Linked DNA regions of Danio rerio. The protein of the gene in region 1 binds, or shares a complex with, the protein of each later gene. Links are inferred from orthologs where the notes say so. Each region holds a gene or a part of one and is shown on either strand. Other genes may lie near its edges.

Region 1 (16,207 bases):
TAAGCACATTTTAAATGTGGTTATAAGTCAAGAATAGAGCATTTGTAGCTGCAGTTATAAACTGCTTACTAACGTTTATTAATGCTTAACAGATAATGAATTCACTATTTGCTGATGCTTAATAAATGATTTATAGTGCGTAGTTATTATAAAGTGTTACCGAAATGTTTTGTAACTTTAATAAAGATTAACTAATATACAATAAAGACTATGCATAGTTGATTATTTAATACCTGAAAACTATCATTCACTTTTATCTCTACTATACGTTATTGATCTATGTTTGTAATTTATTTGTTATATATTATTCGAGATTCCTTTTAAATCATCTGATGAAATTGTATTCACATCATAATATATAAATCACAGAAATTCAAAATACCGTAATGTCAGATTTTTCCAATATCGCGTAGCCCTAATTCAAGTTTACAGATATTTGTTCAACTAATTTCCATGACTTTTCCAAAACTTCTCCAGGCCTGGAAATTGCCATGTCAAAGCTCCATGACTTTTCCAGGTTTTCCATGACCGTATAAACCCTGTCTCTAGCCCTCAGAAAGAATCTACAAGCTCTAAAAATACACTACCAAAAAAAGCAAAGAACACACAACCACTGCTGGATTTTAAGCAACTTTTATTAAATTAGATCTTTATAAAACAGTGCAGAGTCCTATCATCGGCTTTGCTGATCGTAAGCCTCTATGAAGCATCTCTACCACGCTGCGAATTGTCAATAAAATGGAAAGCCAAACGCCGGCTGAAAAGACCCTACATCGACGTTCAGTCCCTTATACATCAGCATAGCGTGTGTGTGAAATCACGCTAGCATGGCTGAGCTCAAATGAACCACGGCATAATGTTATATCTGTAAATATTTGCGTAATTCACTCTGCAAAAATTGAGGTAATCCAAATACCGCTGCGACGAAAACAAATCAGAGTAATGCTTTTGGTCTGAGACACATGGAATGCATTACGAGCTACAAACGTAAAGGCGTTATTGTCAATGCGTTATGCTCACGTTAATTACGCTACACTCTAGATTGACTTATCTAAATGAGCTCACTATAGCCTACGATCAAAATAAACGTGATTGTACACATGATTTAGAAACCACGTGACTTCGATATCAACATTTCGGGTTGAGTTAATCGCCCTGGTTTGCAAAAAGGAACATCCCGTAGACAAATAAAGGGTTAATGTCGCGTAATGACATTGAGATCAATCCGGACTGAATTTTGCATAGCGTCATTTATTTCCTAGAAATACCGAACAATAACACTGTTTGTTTGTTTGTTTGTTTGTTTAAGCCAGGGCTGTGGGGATTAACTGATACTGCAGGTTCACATTTGTTTTATCGGGTTTATTATTCCAACCTAAAGTCACGACAGGCCAGAGGGAAAAGAGCGCAGTTTATTGGTACTCTCTGATGGGAAAGTGTGCATTGCGTGGATGACGTTCAGAGTTATTTAGCATGTTCTGGTTGTGGGCCTGACAGTGGGAGAAGGTCATGCTGTTAAGGTGTGTGTGGTTCAGCAATCAGCAAAAAAAGTTAGAGTTGGGTTAAGCCTTGGTCACATGAAGTCCTCATAGTCTTGTGCATAACCGCCTTCAAACCCGCCGTAATCTGCCAGATCGTCTTTCATCTTGGCTTTTAAACCTCCCCCTGGTAAAACTCCCTTCTTTTTCTTTTTACCTTTGTTTGCCTATAGAATAGGAGGAAAAAACAATTACGAACACATTTTATATTAAGGTACACAGTAATCTGTGTGGAGTTTGCATGTTCTCCCCTTGTTGGCGTGGGTTTCCCCCACAGTCCAAAGATACACGCTATAGGTGAATTGATTAGATTAAATTGGCCAAAATCAGTGTATGTGTGTGCATGTGTGACTTGGTGTTTCCCAGTGATGGGTTGCAGCTGGAAGGGCATCCGCTACATAAATCAAATGGAATAAGGGACAAAGCCGAAGGAAAATGATTGAATGGGACTTGCAGCACAGACAGTAAGTAAACCCTTTCACAAAATCGATTTCGTGGAATTGAATCGAACGGATTTGTTTGTGTGGATGGCCTTTGCATCCACGGTTCCGTCACTTGTTGAACAGGTGGCTCGAAATGCGGCTACCGATAAACAGCAAAACGGATGAACTTGGGACTGATGCTTTGCATCGAACATGCGCAATGTATACAAAAAACTCAACACAAGTAAAGAATTTGCCTGTCCGTGATGCTGGGGATACAAGCAGAGGAGCTGAACATGCACTGCTGCATGGGCCTCTGGCTATGATATTGCCGGTTGGGGGAATGTTTCTAATATAAGTCGCAAGCAGATGCCAGTATTAGCAAGTCATGAAACTGGACACCTCAGATGCAGTTCTAGACAAGTGTATCTGTCTGCAAGACAAGGTGTAACATGGAGGGGCGTAACTTGTAGTAAGTTAGAGAGGTGTAACTTACAGTCATCGAGATCCCATTGCGAGATGTAACAAGATGACAAAAATACTTAACAGAGAGCATTTTCATGAGCTTTCTCCGAATTGATCCACAACCTATTCATTTGATATATTATTACATTCATTTAGCAACTCCACCATGCAACTTACTCGCCGACTTCATCCGTTTTGTCATGACAGTACTCGGCATCGCCTTCTGTGGTTGCAAAAACAGTACAATGGCGAGCACATCAAATATGACAGTCTCCGCAACTCGCAGCTGTACGTTAATAACTGATGGTTGGGTTTAGGGAAGGTGTAAACGTTAATAATGATGATGATTGGGTTTAGGTGGGTATAGACGTTATTAACTGTGATGGCTGGGTTTAGGTGTGGAGTAGACATTAATAACTGATTGGTACATTTTGACATGTGGGTCTTCATAACTTCAAGTTATGCCTCTACCACAAGTTACGCCCCGGTCTTGCAGTCCACACACAGACCCTACTTCTTCTAGAAGATGGTGAAATTCATTAAGGTTTGTGCGCCTCTTTGTGGTGACATAAACCCAAACACAACAGCATTTTAGAGAATGTGTTTATATCCATGTCTATACTCACAGGATGTTCTTCACATCATTTGTGATGATAAAAACATTTGTGCGAATGAATGAAGACTATCGCACAAGTAATTTAGAGCGAATGAATTGAATGCTCTCTTTGCATTTAGTGTGAACACGACATTAGAGCTTCTATAGACCATTTTGACAAATGTAAACAAAAACCATTTTCCCAACGTATTTCCTGTTTTACATTTAGCTTTCGACAATCCAAAAAGAGCCACATGTTGATAGATGATGTTATGACAGCCGTTTTAACATGAACTTATGATTGAATTGCCTATAGTTATGAAATACTTTGATAACCAGCAGGAAATGTTTATGGGCGACTGATATGACCATATTGAAATGGTCTACATTTACCCTTTTAAACTAGATTTTAAAATTACCCAAAATTCCCATCACTAGACTTGATTCAATCTTTAGATGTGCTGCGTCTGAAACCGCATACTTCCAAACTATATAGTACGCTAAAATCAGTATGCAAACCGAGTAGTATGTCCGAATTCATAGAATTCGAAAATCAGTATGCGAGAAGTACCCGGATGACTTACTACTTCCGGCGAGATTCTAGAGTGCGCATCCCATGCATGCTGCGCTATCCAATGATGCCCCGCGAGCGAATTCATGAATGGGAGTAAAGCGACGCAACTGACGCAGGTAGGTCACGTGACCATGACAAAATGGCGGATGTAGTCTGTCCGAATTCCATTCATACTTTTCACGTTCATACTGTATAGAACGTACTTTTCTAACGGCCGAGTAGCACGTTTAAATTCAAATGCAGTACCTACTGAGTAGTAGGCGGTTTCGGACGCAGCCATGGTTTCTTTTCAAGTTACTCTCACATATGTCCCTTGTATGCAAATTGCAGACTTTACTGTCTACGTCTGCCTGAATTCATCATGTAATTTTCCCAGAAATCATTCACTATTTCCCTGGAGAGTACAAAATTGATAGGGAAGTGCTATGGCCGATACCGAAAGCTTGTCAGACATAGCGAAGGGTGAATTGCTTTGTTTGCCATTTTGAAAGAGAAATTCAATTAATCGCTAACTAAAACACGAACTTGGCAGCACTAGTTGGTGGTTTTAAATGGTGTGATTATTTATCTACACCAGGCCTAAAGCATCCAAGGTGTCAGCACACAAACTCAGCTAAGTAACGTTTAATAACACTTAAAAGAAAATAGCAAGATGTAATTTGTGAATATCATGCCTGATTATTTAGGAAATCTGGTAATTGTTGCATTAAATGGTTTTCATACCTTTTCTTGCCTCTGTTTTTCACTTAGTAACACTGTTAGTGAGGTGTTAATTTTCTTCAAGTCTTCAACTTCCACTGCAAAACCAATTCAAAATGTCAGCAAAATACATGATTTACAATGAGAATGACGGAACAGTCAGCTGAAATGAAGCATACTCACATGAAAGACACAGATCCCTAAACAGTGTTTCTAAAAAGCCGGAATAGTGTATAGACTTCTCATAGGGAGATATTTTTTCTTTTAGCAACCTCTCGAACTCTGTGAAGTCGTCTTTCGAAGAGGGACTTATTGCATCGATTCCGGTAACATTATTTGAAACTACACCTAAAAAGAGAGAATAAAAGTTCAGAATTGAATCTTTTATCCGTTTTAAAAACAAATGTAGATGCATGTTATATACAGAAAGCACTCACCAAATGCCTCTTTTGCTAGTTCTAAGTCTGAATCCTCCTGTAGTTGTTTCACTCTGAGTTTCTCTGCCAGTTCATCTTCTGGTGTGAGTGGTGTGTCTCTTTTTGTCTCCTCTAACTGCTTTAAAAATGTAATGTTGTATACATTTAATGAAAAATATTCTTACAAAATGAATAGCATTTACAATAATTGTTGTACTATAATATATTTTAAAATCTAATTTATTCCTGAAATGTCAAACTCAAAATCTCAGGATCATTATTGCAGTCACATGATCCTCATTCTAATATGATTTGCTGCTCATGAAACACTTATCATCAATGTTTTATAATCAGCTATATATTTTTTGTTAAAACTGTGATATATTTACCCCAAAATCCTTCATGAATGGTTATAGTTATAATACAAGTTCAAAGTTTGTAGCCATATCAAGATAAACTTCAACAGTGACAGCAAAATAAAAAAATAAAAACCCACAATGTGAATTAAATGTGCTTAATATCAATAAATTGTTACTGCGCCAACTTACTTGTTTTCTGAGCTCCTCTTGTTTTTTCCTTTGTAAATTTTCCTTTTCTTTTATCTTTTCACTGAGTTTCTTTTTTTCTGTAGGTTTAGCCTCTGCATATGAAAAATCCAAACAAAATCGCATACAAACGTTACAAACTGAAGTACCTGATCAGGGTTTCTGCAGGTTTCATCCATTCAAATGTAAGAGTTTTTAAGACCCCTTTAAGACATTAAGAATGACATTTTAGACTTATGCAGGGTTGAGATTTATCCTAATGGCCTGGTATTGTCCTGAGGAATTGAGTAATCATTTTTAGTTTTTTTTTCTCCTGATTAGGCCATTTAATTTGGGGAATTTTCTGTAAGAAATGGCTAACAGCTGTTGGGAATGTATCTTTTTGCAATAAAAAAAACTTTAATTTAAAAAATAAGGTTTTATTGAGACACATTGTGGATGATTGGATGGATTTCGGTTGAGTAACTTTACTTGGACAAAACAAAATTAAGACCTGTTTAAAATTATTTAAGACCTAAAACACAATATTTGAGTGAATTTAGGAGTTTTTAAGGCCTAAAATGTAGTTGAAATTTAAGACTATTTAAGACTTTTAGGACCCTGCAGATGCTTTGTAATTATGTGAATTTAAATGTGGATAATTTACAGTCTTTTAAAAAAATATTTTTAAAATAGTTTGTATATTCATGCATGTAGATTTATTTAGTTATAGAGCCAACTACAAAATAAAAAAATTCATAACAGACGTCCCATTTTGGTGTGCAGATATACACAGTTAGCATGTCAAATGAGATGATGTAATATTTCAAATATTATTTGTGAAAAAAGCATGTCGAAATATTGTGAAAAGGGTTTCTCGTCATTTAGTGTAATGTATACTTATTTTGACCTGTACTTAAAACAAATTAACTTAAACTTTATGAATTTTTAAAAGTATTAAAATCTATGGTAAATAGATACTAATAGATAAAACCTAGTAGTTCTAGTATTTCTCTTGGTTTCTCAATACTTTATTATTATTAAAAAAAAAATTTTTAAATAATTTTTGCTTTGTATAAAGTTAGTTTTATGTACTTTAAAAACTTGCTTTATAAGTAATTGAACTTGGTTTAAAGGACAAAGGCGAAATTACAAAGATTAAAAATGACAGTAAGTATTTTGAGGCTTCAACGTGATTGCTTAAATAGTTTAATATATCATCAAATTATTATTGTTCTTCACTGATAGCCTCATGGTCACTGCGCAACATATGCTTTGATGCTTCAAAATCCTTTTTGGCCTTTGACCCCATTTTATCCTAACAATGCACTTTTCCCCCAACTCATGAACATCACTGTACCTGTCTTTTTTTCCTCCTCTTCCTCCTTTTCTTCCTCTTCATCATCATCCCAATTATCCTAAATGGAAAGGAAGAATACTTTTAATTAATAAATTAGTCCACTTCATCTTCGTTGCTAGCCTAAGAGAAGCATTAACATTCTCAAACTTTCCTTTTATGAAATCTCCTTGGGATGATCCAATAATTTTAAATAATCAACAGGTGACAATCTACAGTGACATGCTGCTACAAAAGGCCATCTACACTAACAAAACTATTAATTGTAATTAAAGGCCTAGAGAAATGGAACTGACTCATATAATTACTATAATTTCACTGTTTAACTTATGACAGCGTATTTAAGCAGGTATACACCAAACTAAATAGACACGTATTAGGACTTATCACCACGTTGTTTTGACACTCTTGAGTTAGCAAGAGTAGCTAGCTAAAGTTAGCCAACTGTAATGTCTTGATATGTAGGGATTAAAGAAGAGTTAAAACAGTTTTTTTTACTTGAGAACGACAAATTAAGGGTTCGTTACTAACTTTCACGTCGTCGTCCTCATCCTCGCCCTCCCATTTGTCATGAACTGCCGCCTTTTTGATGGGCTCCTCAGGCTCGAAACTGTCCGCATCTGGAAAACGACCGATTGTTCAGACAGATCACTTAATGACAGGCGTATTTTTGGCGTACGTTTATCTGGTAGAAAAGATTATATGTTTCCAAGCGAATAGAAGAGAAAGATAACGGTGGAGTTTAAGAAATTCTCACCCCAAGAATCGGCGTCCGCCATGATGTCAGAGTCGCTGAGGGGAACGAGAGAGTGAAGCTCAACTCACTGCACCAAGACTTCCGGAAATTTCAAAATAAAGGTCCACCGATGGACGGTAGGGAAATTTTACAAACAAGTAAATTGTGCAGTACCATGAGGAATACCATTATCAGACATTGTTAATTTTTTTAACACACAATCAAATAAAATGTCGTTTTGTGGCTTTTAGATTGTGTATTAGTTCAAGACAATCATTTGTTTGCTAACTGTAACTTTTATTAGATTGTGTAGTGTGTGTGATCTAGTGCGGCTTCTAGAAAACAAACAAAAATATTGACTCATCCTGCACTACTGATTTTGTCCAATTAAATTGAGTATATGTACATTGACTTTTAAGATCTGAATTCTTTTTTTTAATGTGATCTTTACTTCCTGATTGATATATGAAATAAAGTTGGTCTAGACTGGACAAGAAGTACTGCATTAAGTTGATTTCTTGCGTTATGTCTTTAAAATATGGAAATGTATTTTCTGTGGAGTTTCTGCACTAGCACGCTTCTACTGATGACACTTGCGTTTACGCAATCGTTCATCTCGTTTTACACTTAAACAACTTAATAAATGATTAAGTCTATTAAACTGATTGTATTTCAATTACATTACAACATCGATGCTATTAAAGGAACCTTATAGACGAATTACCATGTTTTTAAACATTCAGGATGCGCGCGCAGGGAGTGGCAGAAAAAAAAGGGGAGCGCTAGCATTTACAGCGAGGGAATGACATCCGATGCGGAGTTTGTTGACTTAGAAGTAAGTTATACTGATTACATATTATATATATATATATATATATATATATATATATATATATATATATATATATATATATATATATATATTATTATATATATATATAAATATATATATATATATATATATATATATATATATATATATATATATATATATATATATATTATTTTTTTTAATATATATATATATATATATGCATGATTTACATAATGCTTTCAACGTATTATAACAGCTTGTCACCCAGTGATAAGTACAGTGATTTGGCAAAATTAACGTTAAAGTGAGTGATGTGAGTCGCGAAAGCACCCTCCCAATGAATATTGGATAAGACGAAATGGCCAAGCATCCTGCCCCAAATATACAACTCTCTCATCGAAGCTCCAAGTGTTTTAACAAGATTAAGAAATAAGTGTAAGAAATAATGTTCCATGATTACCAGATTCAAAACTATGTAGTGCTAAAAACAGAGGTTCTGCTTGGCCAAAGACAAGGAAAGCAGACGGAGCCAACGTTAACTTACACATAGAGGTAAAGTTGGTTTTATATTCACACATTCTGACTTTCTCCTTAATAATATAATTTTATAAAAGTATTATTTGCAAACTCTAAATAGCAAAATCATATTAGCCGCCAATGACTATTGAAGTAGAACATTGCTCACAGTCAAATAAACAGTGCTAATGTTGTTTTCAAGTCACACTTGCAGCTTTTTCAGATCGAATATTCAAAGTGCCGTGGTAAACAATATAGGGAGTGTGTCACAAGTTGTCACTAAATGAATATGTGAATATAAAAACCAACTTTATCTTAATAACTTACACTTTCACGTATTATTCTTAGCATTCAGTGTTCGCAGTTTAATTAACCATGTTTAACTGTTTATGCTGAAATCATTGCTGCAATCACAAACGAGTAATTTGCATGATTCAGCATTGCGTAAACTTGATATAACATGAGAACTGCAGAGTCCAGCATTTCTAATTAGGTTGTCACTTCATTCAGCTCCCTTTTAGCCAAAGATGTCGGCAGTTAGCATTAAAAGCAGTGTGGTGTACGGTAAATGTTAAGTTTTCTATTTTTAAACTTTAAAATTTGGCATCTGCACAACACAAACATGTTTACTATAGCCACTATATATAGTCTCTTTTTGCAACTGGGAACCCGTGTGACGTCATGTGTGACGTAGGTTGGTAATTCGTCTATAGGCACATAAACCTTTTACCAAAAGTTTATCATTGGCTGAAATCACTAGCTGTGCATACAGCCCATTCTCACTAGAAATCGCTCCACAATTTAACCTTAGTATTTTTTTTTTGCAATTGTCAGGGGGTGAACTATGGTGATTTCAATAGGAATCCATGAAGTCAGGAATTTTGTATGATGGCAAAGATTTCTTCATGCAGGTTCAATTGGTTATGCCTCGTTGACTGCTTTGCTTATAAGCTTAGCTTGAAAGTAATTTATACATTGTTACTACTATAAAACAAGACATATTTTGCCTGTAGAATTTTGCAGCAGTCTTGCTAATGTGACCACACCACTCAAAAGCAGCAACCGAGTGCTGTCCATGACCACAACATGTCCTTTGCATTGATTACCCATTGTTACTACAAATAAGACCAACAGCCACAAAAACGTATTCATTGTAGTTAAACATGGCAACCGCAAGTCAACCATTCTTTTTCTACACAAACCACAGTTTAATCTTGGTATTTGGCCTAATAAAAACAAAAGTTAATAAACGTTCCAAAAACCAGTAGATCTTTAACAAATCGTCGGCGCCAATAGCCTAGTGGTTAGTGCGTCGACACATAACACCGAGCTGCTCGCAGCGACCCGAGTTCTATTCCTATCTCGAGGTCCTTTGCTGATCCATTCCCTATCTCTGCTCCCCACACTTTACTGTCTCTATATCTCCACTGTCTAATCCACAGGTGTCAAACTCTGTTCCAAAAGGGCCGCAGCTCTGCACAGTTTAGTTCCAACCCTAATTGAACACACCTGATCAAACTAATTGAGTCCTTCAGGCTTGTTTGAAACCTACAGGTAAGTTTGTTGGAGCAGGGTTGGAACAAAACTGTGCTGGGCTTCGGCCCTCCAGGGATTGAGTTTGACACCCCTGGTCTAATCAATAAAGGTGAAAACCCCTAAAAAATAATTATATAAAAAAAAGATCTTTAACAAAACATTCTTTTGTAACCCTTACAAACACTATTGTTTTATTCATGTTAATATGCAGTTACTTTATATAGAGCACTATTTGAGGTAGCAGCCATTTGTAACGGTCTCCAAAATCAAATTGGACATTATCGAGTGCACTCAATAATGTCAATTAGCACAGGAATGAGCCACTAAATACTGTCAATACCGCTTCTAGTGCACTCAGAGTGTCTGAATTTGCTCACTTGTTTTTCATTTATTCATTTTTCATTCATTCATTTTCTTGTCACATAGTAATACACTAACAAAAGTAAGCAGGAAACCACACAGACTTTGAATCTTTCTGCCAGTTTGTCTGCAACCTTTTTCCACACGTTAAGAGTCGGGGCTCTAGCTTTATTTATTGGGTGTTGAAAGTTCTAACAATACTATATCATGAAACTGAAATGCACTGCCGAATAAATAAAGAATGCGGAGGAAGCCATCTTTGCGCAATTATCTTTTTTACAGCTGTCAGTCCTGCCAACCAGACCTTTCTTTGTCGCTCTGTCAAACCCATACTGGAATTATCATTTAAAAGTAGCACATATGGTTGCACTGGTATATCTTTTCCTATATTCATTCATTCATTTTCTTGTCGGCTTAGTCCCTTTATTAATCTGGGGTCACCAACTTTTCCAGCACATTTTGGCACAGCGGATGCTCTTCCAGCCGCAACCCATCTCTGGGAAACATCCACACGCACTCTTAAACACACACACACTCATAGACTACGGACAATTTAGCCAACCCAATTCACCTGTACCGCATGTCTTTGGACTGTGGGGGAAACCCACGCAAACGCAGGGAGAACATGCAAACTCCACACAGAAATGCCAACTTAGCCAAGGCTCGAACCAGCGACCCAGCGACCTTCTTGCTGTGAGGCAACAGCACTACCTACTGCGCCACTACGTCGCCATCTTTTCCTATAATTTCAGATAATAATCATGACGTTTTTTCCAAAACTCATACACTTTTTCTCCTTCCCACAGCATATGTATAAATGTTCCAACCTGTTGGTGAGAACAAAAACTGCAATTGGGACTTGAGGATAACTTAAAAAGAAAAATACTCTTCATTTATTGATCTTCAAGTAATTCCACACCTTTGTGAGTTTCTTTCTTCTGTTAAAAATGGAAATATTTCGACAAAAGCTGAACCTGCAACCATTGACCTCAAAAGGAAAACAAATACCGGGAGGTGAATATAATTTCCAAATATATTATTTTGTGCTTAACAGAAGAAAGAAAATCATAAAGGTCGGAAACAAGTAAATGGTGAGTGACTGAGCAAGTTTGGGTGACACGGTGGCTTAGTTGTTAGCACTGTCGCCTCACAAAAAGAAGGTCGCTGGTTCGAGTCTCGGATGGGTCAGTTGGCATTTCTGTGTGGAGTTTGCATGTTCTCACTGTTTTGGTGTGGGTTTTCTCTAGGCGCTCCAATTTCCCCCACAGAATTGAATAAACTTGGCCGTAGTGTATGCGTGTGAATGAGTGTGTATGGATGTTTCCCAGTGGTGGGTTGCAGCTGGAAGGGCATCCGTTGATAAGTTATGATAAGTATTATGAATAAAGGGACTAAGCTGAAGCAAAATGAATAAATAAATGAGCGAAATTTCATTTTGGGGTGAAGCTGGACTCCTTTTAAGAGACAGATTTGTCTTTTCAAATTATTTAAATTTTTTAAGATGCTAATTTGGTGGTATTCCCACCAAATAAAACATCTGTTTGCTTGTTTTTTGAGAAAAAAATCTAAATAATAAATTTCTACTACCAGATGCCCTGGTGTTGGACTGTCTCTTTAAAAAAAAACTAATAAAGCGCCTCACTGTCCCGGGATGCTGAGGGTGTGTGTGCGTGTGTGTGTAAGCTACATCCACGTTCCTCAGCATCCGTGGTTCATGAAAGACATGTCCTGACATTTGCTTTGTAAATACGTGAGCAATACAACGACAAACACTTCTTTCCTTGAGCAACGCCGAACTGGCTCCGGTAAGCACTTGTTCGTTTTAATAGGCTATCGTCGGTATTAAAGTAGGATATGTAAACGCTTCGATTTTCTGTTAGTTTTATTTTAGCCTGCAGTATAAGGACAGAATGTACAGAATGCTAATGCTCGAAATCACCTCATATTATTGCCGATGTGAGTGAGTGCACATTTTAAGCGCGTGCACATGCATGTGGCGTCTCAATGACGCGAAAACGGCGACGTATCTTCATGTTCTCTGGATATAAAGCAAGCTAATGTTTCTTGAGGTGTTGTGTGGACAAACATGAGGTTTCTCCGTGATTTACGTGTTATCAGCCGTGTTAGTTATTCATTTGGGCTGTGAAGAATCCGGGTCGATGGATGTTGCAGTAATTCAGTCTCGAGATCACTGGAAGAATGGATTGTGACGTCAGAACTACTGGATATGAGGTTATTTTGGTACTGAAGGAGGTATATATATATATATATATATATATATATATATATATATATATATATATATATATATATATATATATATATTAGATAGATAGATAGATAGATTGAAACAGAACTGAATGTGTTTTGTGAAGCTGTTAGGGCATATCTGTGTGTTAAAATATTTATACAATTTGGTCACATGATGAAATACTATAGCAATTTATAGTAAACACTATAGTGTTTTTGAACCATAATGTAGTGAAATGGATTTTACTGTATATATTTTAGTATTTATTTACAACTTTGTTAATGAATGCTACAGATAAAGTGACCTGTTAAACTCCGTTTAATCTACTCTAACTCAGCTGTGGTATATTGTAGTATAATATACTGTACATTCATTCATTCATTCATTTTCCTTTCGGCTTAGTCCCTTTATTAATCCGTGGTCGCCACTGCGGAATGAACCGCCAACTTATCCAGCACGTTTTACACAGCGGATGCCCTTCCAGCCGCAACCCATCTCTGGGAAACATCCACACTCATTCACACACACTCATACACTAAGGACAATTTAGCCTACCCAATTCACCTGTACCGCATATCTTTGGACTGTGGGGGAAACCGGAGCACCTGGAGGAAACCCACGCGAACGCTGGGAGAACATGCAAACTCCACACAGAAACGTCTTGCTGTGAGGCGACAGCACTATCTACTGCGCCACTGCATCGCCCAGCATAATATCCAGTTGTAGGTAATTTAGCTGTTGGGTAATTTCATTATATTACTATAGTTGTTGTATTACAATTGCAAATATCGAATAACTACAACAGATTAATTCAAGTAATTCACTATAGTATGAATCAAAAAGACCACAAAAACAAAACTCATAAATTGTTGTCGTTTTTTTTTTTTTTTAAATTGGTAAACATGGTTTTATTATAGTAAATACGTTTTTTTTTTATAGTGTATCTTGGCACGTTGACTACCGATTTGTTTAACCACAGTTTTATTACCAATACCATGGTTAAATTGGTTACCTGGCTGAAAAAAATTAATAGAAACCAACACAGAAGTTCTAATAATAGTTCTTTTGTTATAGTTTTAACAGTTGTAATGTAAATTATATTGGTTTTAATAGAAACTGTATCGGTTCAGTGGGACTAGTGATATTATTTTACCTTCTAATAAAATATATGAGCAATATCACATGAGTAGCAGTGCGATAAGGCTGTATATCAGCACTGGTGGGAGGCGTGCGCTGCCTTAGCGTCCCACCAGTGTTTATATACAGCCATATCGCACTGCTACGAGTGTGATATTGTGTTTATACAACAGTTCAACGTCACGATCCTGTATATAAATAAGAAAATCCAACACGGAAAGTCTAAAACCCTTTTTTTATTAGAAACTACTTTCTTCCGCCATACATTCTCATCTGCAGCTGACGTCAAAACAGCAAAAGCCTTTACTAATTCACCAACGTCACTTTAGAGCTAGTGTTTGAATGACTCTGTCTAAAGTAATGAAAAAACTGCTGATTTTGCTTACACTTTAAGATTATAAGGCTGAATGTGGCATGAAATACCATCCATCTACAGAGATATCTTCTTACAGTGTTACAGTCTACATTATTTCTCTGTTGCAATCGGGATATCGCAATAATTAACCCCGGAAATAACAACGAACCCACTAACGTTACCAGACTGCTGTTGTGTTTGCGATAAGAAAAAACGCTAAACACGTGCAGACTTTGCTTATTTCAATCTGCCAACACAACACACATTCCTGATATGCGAGCAAATCGGTATAAAAAAACGATTGCACTGTTCTTGCAAATAAACTGCATAGTTGCAATCTAAACAACTACATTCTCGACTAAAAAAGCCTCAAATGTATATTTTGTTGTGTAACAGCAGTAATATTTGTCAAACTGTTGTGTCTGCTTGTTGCTGGCTGTTTGTGGGCGGAGTAATACACAAAGGGTAAAGAGGTTGTACGGATGCTGATAGTACGGCTATCAGCCAATCAGATTCGAGATCCAGACAGAACTGTTGTATAAATCCTAATAATGGAATACATGGAATAAATCCTAAAAATGGAATACATCCCAAAACTAATTATACCATTTCAATAGTTAACATTTGGCTAGTATTTAATGTTTTTAATGGTAGATATAGGAAAGTGGAAACCATTAGCATAGTCTGTAATGGTTTCTAATGTTTGTTTTTTTGTTTAGCATGCAGTGCTACTATAGTTAAAGCAAATTAACCATAGGTTTGGAACATTAATAGTATTTGTAATACAACTGTAGTCGTGCAAATATAAAGAAATGCCAATAAATAATTGTAACTACACAATTACTATAATAAAAGCAAGGTTAATTTTTGTAAAGATAAACCAGCATAAACTGTATTAATTTCACATGTGTTTGTTTGTTTTTTATATATAAAAACCAGCTTATGGACCAGCTGAACACCAGCTTGACCAGGCAGTGCTGCACATCACTGTGGCTCTTGTACAGCATTAAGGTTTTTTAGCAGGGAAGTGTCCAGACTAAAGCATTTACATTTAGATGAGACAGCAACTCCCGGCAGGTCCAAGGGTTGCACCATGTCTGACAGCTTGTGCATTGGTGTAATTGTCCTTTATTAGGTGTGAACACATCCTTGTGTTGTTCTTTTGTTTTGATATAATCATTCATACGTCCAAGGTAACAAAAAATGGGTTCTTTTAAAACAGGAAATATTCTTACAATGTTCTGGGAAGGTTTATGTCAAGTTATTGTTCATTGAGGATAATCGAACTGCACTCAAAAGTTAGCCCAAAAACATTGTATACATTAGTCATTTATAACATTTTTGTTGTACAATATATATTGCACCAAAAGTTATTGGGAAAAATAATCTAAGCAAAACAATCTTCCAATGAGGAAAGCAAAATAATCTTGTGTCAAAAGGAAAAACAAGCTTATTTTGTTTACCCCATTGGTCGATTTTTTTTGCTTGTTTTAAGTAAAAAACTCACTTAATTTTGGCATATTATTTCTAAAAACAAGACGATATGTTTTGCTTGTCTAGAAAATGCTTCTTAATATAAGAATTTTTAGATATTTGGACTAGAAACAGGACAAAAAAAATCGAAGAAAAACATTTTTGCAGTGTAAAAAAAGAGTGAAAAATTCCTCGGCAAAAGGTGTGGGAATTTTTGTATCTTAAGTTATAGTGCATTCATATACTCAATATAGCATTTATTTATTTAAACCTGTCTCCTTTAACAAGCATTTAAAAATAAAGAATGAAGGCTCGTTTCTGCATTGCTGAATAAGAAAGCTGTGCAGTTTATGCCAAATGGAAAGAAACCCTCTGCAAATTCATTGACAGTCTGTGAACATAAAGGAACATTAAGGAAGACAGGTATATCGGCCAGTTT
Region 2 (15,593 bases), on another chromosome or scaffold:
AATGTATTTTATAACATCAACATGCACAAACACATCTTTTAAACTTGACCAAAACTCTCGACAACTAAAAAATACTGGCGGCTGTGTCTTTATTATAGTGTAGAACTCAAAGTAGGACGCAGCAAAGAATTGCCACATATAAATTCAAACTACTTTATTATTTTATGCAACAGCCTTACATTTAAAAGGGAACCATAAGGGCGATCATAAGCAATAAGACCCCTTGCCTATTAGGTGTTTTATGGAAAAGCCTATCTTAAACTTATCAGCTATATGTTTTTCTTTCCCTTATTTATTTATTTGTTTGGCGCATGTACTCGTGTGTGATCGAAAACTAGTGTAATGGCGGCATGCCATCTTAACCAGACTCAGGCAAACTCTTCTTCTTTCATTCCACACGAAGTCCCAGCAGGTTCCTTTGGCCCAAGGTATTCGGTGGCCTGAAAAAGCCCAGCCGCTGGCTTTGAGGAAGCCCTGCTTTGGCTTAATCAGGCCCCGGAAGTGACAACGGAAACGCGACAGGCTCGCTCGCTTTAGGCGTGATAGTGGAAATGAGGCTATTGGCTTTGATGCATTGTTAGATTTTCATTTTTTCTCTTTAATTTTATTGTTGGTGGCTGTTTTCCCCACATTGTCTTCCATTATAATCACTTTTGCATAAATGCACAGTCTTTGTTTTTGTTTTATCCATGTAGAGCTTAGATGCATATTTGGATTTTCTCAGACATATCAAGGTAAGTGCGCAAAGACACACATACCATCAACAATCAAAAATGCTTGGTTATATGGTGTCATGGTTTTGTAATCATAAAAATGTGGTTATGATGGTCAAAGTCAATAGGGCCAAAACAGCCACAAACAGTAAATTAGGGAAAAAGGAAGTCAATCAAAATCAATGCATCATGCATATTTATATTTGTTTTATTAAAAACAAGCTTAGATTTGTCCACCTGTCAGGTTTTGGACTGTATGGTGCATAGCATGTGTATTTGAATATAACTCAGTTTTTTGACCACACTTTGTTATTTTGTTCAATTATTCGTTTATAAGAAATTAAACCTAAATTTAGAAATAGTTTTAAAACAAATCTTCTCTGCAGCTGGTCTGCTTTTTCTCGCTAGTGAAGCGTCTGCCATGTAAATAGCAAATGCGCCATGGTGCGATGAAACTGACTCTTAAAGGAATTTGGATTTGAGACTCTGATTGGTTTATTCTCAAAACACAGCTATAACTCAATAAGAGAATAAGCTCAACCCTGTTAGACCTTGTGCCTCGGCGCAGAGTGTATTTTTCCATCCTTAAAATAGCAAAAGTGGATTTTGACACGCCCTTAATGCTTTTGTGCCCTGCGCTTCAGACTTTGCACCTAGATCGTTAAAATAGAGCCCTTTATATTTTCACTAAATCAGTGACATCATTTATGAATTTTGCAATTAAAGAGTTAAAATCCTGTCATTTTCTAAGCAATTAGTAGTTTTGTTCAGGGTGATTTTTTTTTTCTTTTCTTAAATTAAAAGCATTTTGTGTCATAAAAAAAAATTGTCAACAAAAAGCATTCTGCTAGCTCAAACACAAAACATATTATGGCCAAATTAAGACTTAAACTCACCCCAGAGTGGATGAAAACATCCCTAACAGCACATAAGTGTTAATATTGTTTCATTTATGAGGAAATAGCTATGTTATGAATGTGAAAGCTCTTCGTTATGGATATGACTTGGCCCACACGGAATCTGCGCGCGCAGAATTCCGCAGATTTGCCGCAGATTTTCCACAGAATTTCGCAGATTTTTAACCCACTATTAATTCTGTTTATTTACTTTAGTAAATGTGTACATCTGAATTTATTCAGTTTTTATTCAGTAATTTATTACTTTTTATTTAATTTATTAAGGTTTTAGTTATGAAACTCAGCTGGATACTTCCAAAATAATTCCGCAGAAATTCACAGATTTTTACCATAATTCTTTGCAGAAATAGCAAAAAATGTCCGCTGATTCCGTCTGGCCCTGGATATGACCAATGTGAAATGGGCACATGTGTGACTTTGGTAAATCACACTAATTGGTATTTCTTACTCATAAAGCCTAGAAAGAGTTTCACTATTTTAGTGAAAGATTTTTTTTTTTTTTCATAGTGAAGTTGACATTTGCATGAAATTGCTCAGCTACAAACATTGTCATTCATGTGATTCCCATAATACACTGGATCTGTCCTGTTTGAAGCAGTCGTGGATGTATGTTGAGAGGAATTCTCATCCTTTTCCTTGCAGCCATAGGTCTATTCATCCACTGCAAATCCCTGTCTACTGTAATTTACCGCGGTTTCCCTCTGGGCTTTTTAGAGCATTTCTGCTGTCAGTGTTCAGACCTACAGCTATGAGGCAGCTCGTCTCCTTTCTGAGACGTGGCCTAGTTGGGCCAGAGGGAGCGTTCAGCATTCAGACCTGTGAAAACATAATCTACTCTGTCTTTTACACTACCGGCTCAGTTTTACGCTTGAGGGATTTGTGTATATAAAATTTGATTTGAACCGGAAGAACGAATTTGCACAAAACAAATTCTCAATTTTCACTTGTCATGGAAATATGTGTGTCCTAATAGTGTTTATAGCAATGTGGGACATACAGTTGAAGTCAGAATTATTTGCCCCCCTGAATTATTAGTCTCCCTGTTTATTTGTATCCCTAATTTCTTTTCAATGGAAAGAAGATTTTTTCAACACATTTCTAAACATTATAGTTTTAATAACTCATTTCTAATAACTGATTTATTTTATCTTTGCCATGATGACAGTAAATAATATTTCCCTTGATATTTTTTAAGACACTTCTATACAGCTTAATGTGACATTTAAAGGCTTTACTAGGTTAATTAGGTTAACTAGGCAGGTTAGGGTAATTAGGCAAGTTATTGTATAACGAGGGTTTGTTCTGTAGACTATTGAGAAAATATATAGGTTAAAGGTGCTAATCATTTAGTCCATAAAATGGTGTTTAAAAAAAATAAAACTGCTTTTATTCTAGCCAAATTAAAACAAATAAGACTTTCCCCAGAAGAAAAAATATTATCAGACATACTGTGAAAATTTCCTTGCTCTGTTAAACGTCATTTGGGAAATATATAAAAAAAAAAGAAAAATTCAAAGGGGGCTAATAATTCTGACTTCAACTGTGTATATATGTCTGTCAACATCTCTAAAAATGTGTTTTAGGGTTTTGTGACCCTTTAACAGAATAGTGCATTTTTATACGCTGTAATTGAGATGCTATTTGTTTTATTTTTAGGTTTTTATTTAAGTAAAAATCTGAATTAGATTTGTTTAGTTTAGTCTGGCATAAAGAAAGTTTAGTTTTAGCTATTTTAGGTTTAGTGCAGCCCGGAATTTAAATTTATATTTATTTATCTTCAGTAAAGATATTTAGAATTAAATCTAAATGATTTTGGTTTCTCTATTAAATGCCCAAAGTGCTTTCAAATAAATCTAAATTATACATCCATATAAACTGAGAGGATTAATACAAGTTTTGAAAAAAAACACAGTCACAAAAACATTTAATTTAAGCTTAAGTTTGTTAATTGAATTCGACCAATGCTACTTTATTTTTTGCTATCAGCGGAGGACACATCACATTTTTGAATATATTAAAATATGAAATGTAATAATAGTTCACAAATGTACGTTGTTTACTTAAATAGATATAAATACAGCCATTTTGACTATGAGACCATCAAAAACTGAAAAAAAAAAATATTGAAAGGAAATCAATCAATCCATCAATAGGTACATTTTAATGAGCTTTTGAATGGTAGTATACACACTCATTATATAACATTATATACAGTGAGTGGCTATAGAAAATCTGTAAAAATCTGTATTTGTCATATAGCCTGAAATCAGATTACATTCCAAATAACTTATCCAGCCTTTGAAATATTTTTGTAGCCTTCTCCTAACCTGTGCTTTTCTACAACACTTTTGCAAATTTCTTATGAAAGCAGGGTGTAATGTGGGTTAACATAGATTTTCACACAATATGATTTTCTATAGGCACTTTTCTCTTGAATGGATGTTAGTTATTATTTGTAACTCATAATCAATGTTAATAACTATTAAATGCTGTTGTGTCCAGCAATCTTAGTTAAGTTTTTCTATTATTCATTCATTCATTTTCTTGTCGGCTTAGTCCCTTTATTAATTCGGGGTCGCCACAGCGGAATGAACCGCCAACTTATCCAGCATGTTTTTACACAGCGGATGCCCTTCCAGCCGCAACCCATCCATCTCTGGGAAACATCCACACACATCCACACACACATTCATACACTATGGACAATTTAGCCTACCCGATTCACCTGTAATGCATGTCTTTGGACTGTGGGGGAAACCGGAGCACCCGGAGGAAACCCACGCGAAGGCAGGGAGAACATGCAAACTCCACACAGAAACGCCAACTGAGCTGAGGCTCGAACCAGCGACCAAGTGACCCTCTTGCTGTGAGGTGACAGCACTACCTACTGCGCCACTGCCTCGCCAGTTTTTCTATTAATTTGTGCTATTTGTGTGCACAAATTACACTCTATACTGTTAAAGTTTAAAGAGTCTTATTTTTTTGTATAAAAAATGCTATATAAAAGGTATTTAATAACATATTTAAGATTTTTTTCTGCATAAACAATTATCCAATAAGTTTGTATTAGTTAATTTTAGTTAATGCATTTACTAACATGAACAAACAATGAAAAAAACAATTATCACAGTATTTGTTAATTAGTTAATGGTGATTAATGAAAATACAGTTGTTCATTGTTAATTCATGTTATCTCGCAATGCATTAACTACTGATAACAAGCATGAATTTGGCTGAACTAAGATTAATTAATGCTGTAAAGGTATTGTTCATTCTTAATTCCTATTAGTAAATAAATTAACTACAAAAAAAAAACTTATTGTTAAGTGTGACCAAAATTACTCGTGTTAAAAAGGTTATTTATTAATAAATTAAGTTTTAGACTGGCTGGTTAAAAAAAAAAAAAAATAGGCTCTGTGCTTTTCGGTAGATCATCAACAATACTTGCTCAACTTCCAAACGATTGTTAATGGAGTTTTTTTCTGTTTTGAAGGTGCTGGTAAATGACTTCTTCCTGGTTGCTTGCTTGGAGGACTTCATTGAAAACGCTCGGCTGTTCATCTTTGAGACGTTCTGCCGAATCCATCAGTGCATCAGCATCAGGTAGCGCCGCCTGATAGACTAGTGTGTGCTAATCCTCTTATGCTGTAAAAAGAGCGTAGCATGCTGTGAGGATTCACTGCAATGCCAGGATCAGCGGACTCCAGCCAAGTCTGACAAAAACCGAGAGACCTCACAATGCTGTACATTCTGAAGAATCAGCTGGATGGAGAGTGAGATGGAGATAGATGATAGTACGGCTGGCATATTATTATGTAATTGAGAGAATACTTCTTTGTATTTTTATGTTTTTATTTTAGTGGAAATTTAGTTACTTTTTAATTTTTTGTTTGTCTACAAAGTTAAGTCTATATAAGTCATATTATATTTAGCATTGTAGTTCAGGAATAGTTTAATTTAAGCTATTTTAGGTTTATTATATTCCAAAAATTTTTTTATATTTATTCACTCTCATATTATTCCAGACCCATAAGTTATTTGCTTTTCTTTAGTGAAGCTATTTTTAATTTAATGAAATTTGAGTGATTGCTGTCTTACTGAACACCCAAATGCCTGTTAAGACATCTAAATAATACATCCATATAAACTAATGGGTTTAATACAGGGGCATTGCTAGACATAAAGCTGTACTGGGGCACAGCTCTTCCTAAAAAAAATATATAATTTTATTATTTTTTAAATAAAACAAATAAATTATATATTATTCTAAATGAATAACAGTATTTTTTGTTATTATACAATTATTATTCTAAATAAATAACAGAAATTAATCCTAAATGTAATTGAAAAAATCTAAAGTAAAAACTGGATTGATTTTAAAATCATTTAAGAATTTTTTACAAGAGTATTAATTTAATGTGAATGAAATTCTATAGAAGGCAATTCTCTATAATGCAAAAAAAATGTTTTATGGAATTATCTGTTGTCTTAAGCAGGTCGCACACCAGAAGCGCCGCTCGGCGCCGCGACACGGCGCGTACATGACAGTTTAAAGTATCGCACACCAGACGCGCACATTCGAATGATATTTAACATGAAACTAATCAGATGGCGCTCTGTGGCGCGGCTGAAAAATGAACTGCGTCCTGAGCCGTCGCCGGGCGCCGCCGACTTGCGGCGCCGGTGTGTGTATCCTGATAGAAACCTATGTTTAGAATTCTAAAATACATGGTGCTGCGTGGCGCTGTGCGGCGCGCCGCCGAGCGGCGCTTCTGGTGTGCGACCTGCTTTAGACTCATGGCTGAGAATTAGGTTTATTAAGTCTTACCTCCCTTACTCATTAGCTATGTTTCCATTTGCAAATGCGCATAAAAAAAACAGTTGATGGAAACGCCATGATGCGCATAAATTTTGAAAATGCGCATAAAAAACTTATGCGCCTAACTGGGTAGGATAAACTTTTTATTTATTAAATTAATTTAATTATTAAAAAAGGTCATGTGATTTTGTTAAAAGAGATCATGTGAAGCTTAAAATGTTTGTGAATGGACAAAACATCAGGCTGAGCACATTATAAAACATCTAAAATGTTGTTTTGGTCATTATAAAACGCCTTACCGTTTCAGTTTTAGTGTTATTATATTATTAATGACCTCCAGAATCATGACCGCCTGTGCTCCGCGTCTGACACCTTCAAACGCCACTGCGCGCTCACTGCATGTCAGGATTGTCTTCTGAGGCGCATTCATTTAGAAAAGATTGATGCAGCTTCTCCTACTGCAGCAAATGCAGTTTTTACTGTTGATATTTGGCGCCAGTTAATCGGGAAGTGACGATTTTGTTCGCTTTGACTCGTTGGATGGAAACGGTGCTTCATTCGCACAACTTTTATGCGATAATGCAGTTTTGAGCATAAAGTTCATTCTCATTTTTGGATGGAAACATAGCTACTGTCCCTCCTTTTGCTTCATAGAAAACATTTATCAGGAGCCATGCTTAGTCTAAATAGGATCATCATATAATTTAAACTCTGTTTTGTCAACTTGCAAAACTAACAGTGTGCCGACATCTCCGCATAAAAGACTGTTATGCCGGTAAGCATGAGAGGCGCAAAATCAGCATTGCTATTTTTTCGGTGTGCATGTTCACAACCGGGGCTTTACATCAGTAACAGAGCAGCGCATCAAGCTTGAGCAGTGAGGTGTGTAGTTCTATTTTGTGTGGAGTATTTAGGTTCTCCTTGTGTTCGCGTGGGTTTCCTCTGGGTGCTCCAGTTTCCAAAGACATGCGCTATAGGTGAATTGGGTAAGCTAAATTGTCTGTAGTGTATGTGTGTGAATGGGTGTGTATAAATGTTTCCCAGTGATGGGTTGCAGCTGGCAGGGCATGTGCTGCGAAAAATATATGCCGGATAATTTGTCGGTTCATTCCACTGTGGCGACTCCAGATTAATAAAGAGACTAAACCGAAAAGAAAATGAATGAATGAATGAACATCTAAAAAATAAACTTGAGAAAATCACCCGTTTATGCCAAACTTTGTTCTGTCAGCAGGTTACGCTATGACTATGACTCAATATTGGCATGTAAATGTCTTCAGGAGAGGAATCCCATTGAACCTGTGAATTTTCAGGCAGTGTCCGTGTGGCTGATTTAAGGCTGGTTTATACTTCTATGTTGAGTGGTCAGCGTGACCCACCCTGCCTTCCGTGTAGTTGTGCACTTATACTTCTGTGTGCTGTTTGTGTAGTTACATTTTTGAAGAGGTGCGCGTTAGCCATGGTGAGGGCTATGCGTCTGCTCACAGGCTGCACTAGAGGAAATGTGCATGCTTGACGCAGAAGTCTATATTAACTTTTATAAGTAATTCCTCTTCAATAGCAATACTCTGAATTTCGTCGGTCTGCCATGGACAGGCCCTTCAACGGAAACTAGATCTTTACAATTTCACATCACAAAGGTCTTTGGATTAGATTAATGGTATTTGAATTCGATCTGAGTTTGTTACAGTGTAAAACATGTAATTTCCTGTTGCCAGCAGGTGGCGCTATTACTGTAACTGGATATTGGCATGTAAACGTGCTCAGGTAGAGACTCTTATCAAATGTGTGGATTTTTAGGAAAATCAGACAATGCATGCCTGAGTTATAACTTCCTCTTTCGTTGCGAAACATCAAAGTTTGTGAGAACACCACTGACACACCCTTCGACGAAAACTCTGGATCTTCACAATTATATATCGCCAAGGCCTTTAGATGATAATGCCCTATATTGTTGATGATCTGATAATATCCCTTGGAGGAATTTGTTAATGTGCAATGTCTGGAAATGGCAAAAAGTGCGGAGGAAGTTAAAAATATTTGACTTCCTGTTGGCTTTCGGTTTTCGATTCAAAAGACTTTTTGTAGGTATTGACATGTTTGATGTGTGCCAATTTTCGTATGTGTATGTGAAATGTAGCTCGTAGGGCACTTTGTTGACATTTTTATAGGTGAATCTGTCAAGCTATAATGCCACACCCACTTCCGAAACCTTTATCATAAGTAAATTTTCTGTACTTCTGATGTGTGTGCAAGTTTTTGGGCATGTTTAGACTCTCAAAAATGCAATTAATTCCTGAACAGAATAATAATATAAGGATAATAAACAGAACAATTCCAATAGGGTCTATGCATCACCGATGCTCGGTCCCTAATAATAATAACAATAAGAATCTAAATCTAGGAGAAATAGATGCAACAGAAAATGAAAGCAAATCTAAAATATTTAAAGACTTTCCATTTAGTGAACAGATGTCTCAATTTCTTAATTTGCGTTCTCAAAATATAATTAAAAAAATTGTGGGGTTTGGAGTGATATGAGTGTTTGAACAGCACTATTTGAGCCACATTTTTTATTTTGTTAGACTTTTTAAATACCCCGCTGTCTTCACATGTAGTCATAGATATGGTGGTGCATCCTAATTCATGTCATTAGTTTGTGTTTATCACTCCAATGGATTTTCTGCTCCGAGAGTTTGAGCGCTTGTTTGAACACAAAGAGCTTCATCTCGTTGTTGACCTTAGGCAGTGTCTGTATTTCTCCTTCTCTCTCTCATCCATCGCTCTTCCTGTCTCCGGGCAGCATGTTGGCAGATAAGCTGAATATGACCCCTGAGGAGGCCGAGAGATGGATCGTAAACTTAATCCGCAATGCCAGACTGGATGCCAAAATCGACTCCAAACTGGTGAGTGAGCTCTGGGGTGCACAACACATGTCCAAACACAAAGCCCTTTAGTTTGAGATGCTCTGGACTCTCTCTGACAGTTAAAGAGCCCACAAACAATTTTATTTTACCAAGGAAAAATAAGCCTATGGTAAATTTGTTATAGAAATTAGGGCTACACGATATTGGAATAATCTGACATTGCAATATTTTTTTTTCTGCAATATATATTGCGATATACTGTATCTATGCAATTTCACCAAATGATTGAGTAGCACTATTTGAAAAGTTTTTAATCACAATTTATTTTAAGGTTGAATTCTTGCTATTAGCAAACCATTAAATATGACTTGTTGAATATGTTTCTTTATAATACTATTAATATAGGAAATTAAGGTAGTTTAGGTATTGAGTTAGAAATGTAGAATAAGATCATGTAGAATATGTACTGTAAATTATAAGTGCTAATAATAGCTAGTTAATAGTGAGAATTCATCCTTAAAGTGTTACCAAAGATATTCATTTTGATTGATTCGGCTGATTCTGTCATCCCAATAGGGGAGCGAATCATGCATAAAATGTAATAAACAAACTACAAGCACACATAAATGCAATAATGCAAAGATAAAAATGAGATAAACAGTGCATGCTTTATGGTTTTGTATATTGAAGTGTAAAAAATACACTGCAAAGTCAACTCAACATTGCATATCTTGCGATTTGACTATTGCGGATGCACACATTGCGATTGTGATGTTAAAACAATATATTGTGCAGCCCTATTAGAAATATAATTTTATTTATTTATTTATTTTTTAAATAGTGCTAAATCAATACTTTTATATTGGTAAAAGTGTCTAAATTCATCATGAAATGATATTTAAAAATAAAAAAAAATTAAAGAATGGCATTATTGTTATTATTTTGGTAATTATTATTTTAATGAACAATATAAGTTTAAAATATATATAAATAAAATGTTTGATGACATTGGATAAGGATTGGCAATATTGTGTGTGTATTCATAAAAATAAATATAAATATATGGTGATGCGGTGGCGCAGTAGGTAGTGCTGTTGCCTCAAAGCAAGAAGGTCGATGGTTTGAGCCTCGGCTGGGTCAGGTGGCGTTTCTGTGTTCCCCGTGTCCATGATGTTCCTCCGGGTGCCCTGGTTTTACCCACAGTCCAAAGACATTGGGTACAGGTGAATTGACCCTTCGTAAAGCCTCACCCAAAAACCGCCATCCATGAATCGTGGCTTAGCAACCGTAGCTACATACAGGGGCTCTGTCAAGCTTTCGAGGGAAACAGACCAAAGCGTTTTGCATATGGATTGTGCAAATCTGATACTCGGTATCCTTAAAGTTTGGACAGGATGGTGTAATTTTTCCCTTTTCAAAACCAAAAACCCAAGAGGAAATTGCCAGCGTGGATCAAGCTCTGTGAGATGCACTAAAGGAGCAGAGTTAGGTTAGTTTTGTTTTGATATTCCTGACATATAGTGATAGATCGACAAAAATAGCTCAAACACCTCTAACAGATCTCAACTGTTTCCTACAAAAACACAAAGCAGGTTATGTTTCACAGCTGTCTTTTTCTTTTTCGCTCAATATTATGAGTAATGCTCCGTTTAAGCCTTCGCCATAGTAACTTAGTCATACTAATGGCAAATAGGTCATAATGACATGAGTTATTGATCCGGCAAATATGAATCTGCGAATCTGTTACTAACTTTTCTGAACTTCATATTTCCATCTGTTTCAAGCTACGAATATTTGAAATTACAAATCAACAAACAAAACCGAGATAAGATCACAAACTGAGCACTTGTGATCAATATACTTTACCCCCAGCTGTTTTTCATTAATTTATAAAAAGCACACAAACATACTGACAGTAATAGGTAACTTACTGTACATTGTTATGGGTCAATGATGCTAATATTTGGCCATTCTGGCTGTTCTTTCTATGAATGAAAGATGTAGAAGCACTGTCCATGCGTGTTTCCTCATCGGTAAGCTGCGCTATTTTTTCATTGCAAAACATTTAATCTATCAGACTTTTTGGTTAAAAGTAGAGAAATCATGGTTTAATTTGTTATTATTAGATTATTTTCAATTTCACCTCTCCTGCTGAGCATGAGTTAAACTATCAAATGGTCAGCATATGAGGCGGCTAGGCTAATTTAGCTTTAATTTTGATTGAATTATTTTCTAATCGGTTGCCTATTATGTCGTAAATATACCCCTGTAATGCATACTGCAGTTCTTTTTGTCTGGCTTTCTCGGATATCTCACCTGTTCGCCAAAAATGACATTGTATCTCTGGCAATGTCTGACACCGGCGCAAACACATTGTAAAAGTCATGCCAGGCATGAAAGCTTGACAGGCGTAGCAACAGAAACTAAGGAAGGCGGGGCTTAACAAAGGGTCAATTGGGTTAGCAAAATTGTCCATAGTGTATTTTTGTGAATGAGGATGTATGGGTGTTACCGGTGATGGGTTGCGGCTGGAAGGGCATCCACTGTGTTAAACACGTGCTGAATAAGTTGGTGGTTCATTCCGCTGTGGCAACCCCAGATTAATAAAAGGACTAAGCCATATATATATATATATATATATATATATATATATATATATATATATATATATATATATATATATATATATATATATATATATATATATATTAAACAGCATAATAAATAATTAAAATATATATAAATATAATGATGGAATCGCAATATCATTCATTCATTCATTCATTCATTTTTTTTCTTTTTGTATTTTAAATGATTAAAATATATTCAAATGTAATATTTGATGATAATAAAAAATAGCATTATTATAAATTTTTTTATAATTATTGAACAGCATAATAAAAGGTTAAGTATATTCCCACCGTATATTCAGTCTTTGTTTACCCGCTGCCCAACTTGACTGTTTCCGCTAAATTTAGATCTGATTTGCAAAATTTCATGTTAAAATTGGGCACTACCAAAAGAGAGAGATAACAAATAACAGAGTGTGTTGTGAAAGAATTGTAGGCTAAATGTCAGTTTTGTTTGCCTCTCTGTGATGAGACATGAGTATGAAGGTAAATCAGTTGCGTAACTCGAGAGCTTGCAAATGTAAATGTGAGCACTTGTGATAATAATATTTGTATGTGTAGGTTGAAATGTACACTTACAGCTCTGATGTGAACAGCTGAATCCCTCGATTTGCACACACACACAACAATCCACACACTTGTGTTTTAAATTAGAAGTTGCAGATTAATAGTTGTGTATTTGTAAAATGTCATTTACAAATACAAAATGACAGACACACGTGTGCACGGCAAATTTGATTGCATCTTATCTCTACAACCACAGGTCGGCACTCACAACCTCTCAGTTTTGTCAGTACAACTACAAATCTCCCGCGCTCTGACTTTTGCTACACATCTCCCGCGATCTCTGTAGCAGAACTCATCTGTGCACTCGCAGATGCAGAGGCGTGAGCAGCGCGGGGCGGGGGAGGGGCGGGGCAGGTGTAAAGCTGTTTGATTGGCTGATGCCTGACCAATGAACAATGCCAGCAGCCAACAGGACTGAGGTGCAAAAGAATCATTTCCCACGATTATTTTATTATTTAGGGTTTATTTCAACTCTTTTCTGAAGAGATTCTTGTTAAAAATCATTAATTTTGCGGAAATGTACATACCAGTAAAAGAGCAGCAAAGCCAGTTTATTGGCTAGAGCCAGCCAATGAGATGGGGCGTTTCTGTTTGTCAGCAGGGCAGCTCACGTTGTTGGAGGCCTCGAGCAATCAGAGGGTAAGTTATGATTTTTTAATAATTATCTATATGTTCAATACTGTTAGCTAAGCTAAGGACTGTGCTAGGTGCTTCTCTAGTTTGTTTTTTTATATAAGAAACAGTTTTGAGTTATCTAGGAGCTGCTTTCAATCATGTTATATCGTTCTAAAGATCCGATTCAACCCACATGAAATAAGTTGTAATAGTATTTATAGTAAATAATATTACGTTTTTGAACCATACTAACTATAGTAAACTGTATTATATTGTATATATTGCAGTATCTACAACTTTGTTAATGAATGCAACAGCACACTGTAGTATTAACTAACATGAACTTTAATAAATTAAAGTATATTTACACACACATTAATAGCAATTAAAAATAACACTAGGCGTTTCAGTTTCTCACTGATTATACCGGTTTTTGTTATAATAACCTGCATCATATCTATCTATCCATCTATCTATTTACATGTTTGTGTACAGTGTGTCCTTTATTTCACTTTTTTAATTATGAAAGTTACTAACTATAGGTTATTTCTCAGTTTCCTGTAAGGATGGAGTGACAGGAGAGATCAGCATGTTTCAAGTCGATGAGGAACTCAGAGAAGCTGCATAGCTTGAATAGGATGTTATTTATGCTAAAGATGACATGATGATCCAGCTCATCTACAAACACTTCAAAATGATTCAGATCATTCAAGAGGAAGCCGACCATTTGTTTTCTCTTTTTACCTGCCAAGATGATTACAGATTTAAACAAAACATAAACTCACCAACACACAACTTTTATTTTGCTAATTGTTTAATGTAGTATTTTTACACTTTACTGTAAAGTAGGGCTGTCAAACTTAGTTCCTGGAGGGCCGTAACCCTGCACGTTTTTAGTTTCAACCCTGCTTCAACACACTTAAGTGAAAGTGTCAAACAAACCTGAAGGACTCAGTTAGTTTGATCAGGTGTGTTTAATTAGGGTTATAACTAAACTTTGCAAAGCTGCAGCCCTCCAGGAACTGAGTTTGACACCTGTGCTGTAAGGGAAATGTTTAACATTAATTTGTGAAATAAAATTTACAGTGCAAATAAGTGCAGTGCAAATGTCTAGTTACTTGTATTGAAATATTTCAGGGTTTTTCCTTGTTCATAATGAGATGGAGGTGGTAAATCCAACTTCATCATTACCCATCAAATGTTATCTCCTCTTTAATCCTTTGCTCAAACCTTTAGTAATGGGCAAAAAGCAAGCCATTGTGTAAAGCTGGTTGATGTAAAGCTCGCTGTAATAGAGAGAGATGATGACTGTTCAGCTTATGTTGCTTAACCCTGCAGATGAGATGCTCAAAGTGGACCCTCAGCCGAGCGATGGACACTGTCTCCCTCACCTAGTTGCTCTTCCTTTGAACACACATATCATGTTGAAGGATGCAAGTTGTGGACCTAAATCAGATGTAATGGATGTAGATGTATAAATCAGAAAGAAATGAAACTGCTTTAAAATGTATTAGGTTTTACATATAAATACGTGTTCTTAACAGATTTGTTTCAACTTGATATTTGCATAATAAATGACATTAGAATGTTTAGTTTTAAACAAATAGCTATATTTCAATCTTATCAAATTTAAGCTATATATATATATATATATATATATATATATATATATATATATATATATATATATATATATATATATATATATACTTCAATTTATTAAAGTTCATGCTAGTTAATACTACAGTGTGCTGTTGCATTCATTAACAAAGTTGTAGATACTGCAGTATATACAATATAATACAGTTTACTATAGTTAGTATGGTTCAAAAACGTAATATTATTTACTATAATATTATTTACTTATTTACTAAAATACTATTACAACTTATTTCATGTGGGTTGAATCGTATCTTTAGAACCATATAACATGATTGAAAGCAGCTCCTAGATAACTCATAACTGTTTCTTATATAAAAAAACAAACTAGAGAAGCACCTAGCACAGTCCTTAGCTTAGCTAACAGTATTGAACATATAGATAATTATTAAAAATCATAACTTACCCTCTGATTGCTCGAGGCCTCCAACAACGTGAGCTGCCCTGCTGACAAACAGAAACGCCCCATCTCATTGGCTGGCTCTAGCCAATAAACTGGCTTTGCTGCTCTTTTACTGGTATGTACATTTCCGCAAAATTAATGATTTTTAACAAGAATCTCTTCAGAAAAGAGTTGAAATAAACCCTAAATAATAAAATAATCGTGGGAAATGATTCTTTTGCACCTCAGTCCTGTTGGCTGCTGGCATTGTTCATTGGTCAGGCATCAGCCAATCAAACAGCTTTACACCTGCCCCGCCCCTCCCCCGCCCCGCGCTGCTCACGCCTCTGCATCTGCCAGTGCACAGATGAGTTCTGCTACAGAGATCGCGGGAGATGTGTAGCAATAGTCAGAGCGCGGGAGA

The links.
Region 2: eif3ja (region 1) and eif3eb share a complex: the UniProt entries of both Homo sapiens proteins name them as parts of the eukaryotic translation initiation factor 3 (eIF-3) complex. The link is inferred for Danio rerio from reciprocal best matches to the Homo sapiens genes EIF3J and EIF3E.

Annotation. Positions count from the first base shown.
Region 1 is NC_133200.1:34,320,903-34,337,109, forward strand, and holds eif3ja (eukaryotic translation initiation factor 3 subunit J-A), read right to left. Parts: upstream 7,462-16,207; 5' UTR 7,370-7,461; coding exon 7,348-7,369; intron 7,211-7,347; coding exon 7,122-7,210; intron 6,652-7,121; coding exon 6,594-6,651; intron 5,350-6,593; coding exon 5,258-5,349; intron 4,849-5,257; coding exon 4,731-4,848; intron 4,642-4,730; coding exon 4,477-4,641; intron 4,392-4,476; coding exon 4,318-4,391; intron 1,706-4,317; coding exon 1,574-1,705; 3' UTR 618-1,573; downstream 1-617. UniProt on the Homo sapiens protein: Component of the eukaryotic translation initiation factor 3 (eIF-3) complex, which is required for several steps in the initiation of protein synthesis.
Region 2 is NC_133194.1:25,035,776-25,051,368, reverse strand, and holds part of eif3eb (eukaryotic translation initiation factor 3 subunit E-B), read left to right. Parts: intron 1-5,123; coding exon 5,124-5,233; intron 5,234-9,252; coding exon 9,253-9,355; intron 9,356-15,593. UniProt on the Homo sapiens protein: Component of the eukaryotic translation initiation factor 3 (eIF-3) complex, which is required for several steps in the initiation of protein synthesis.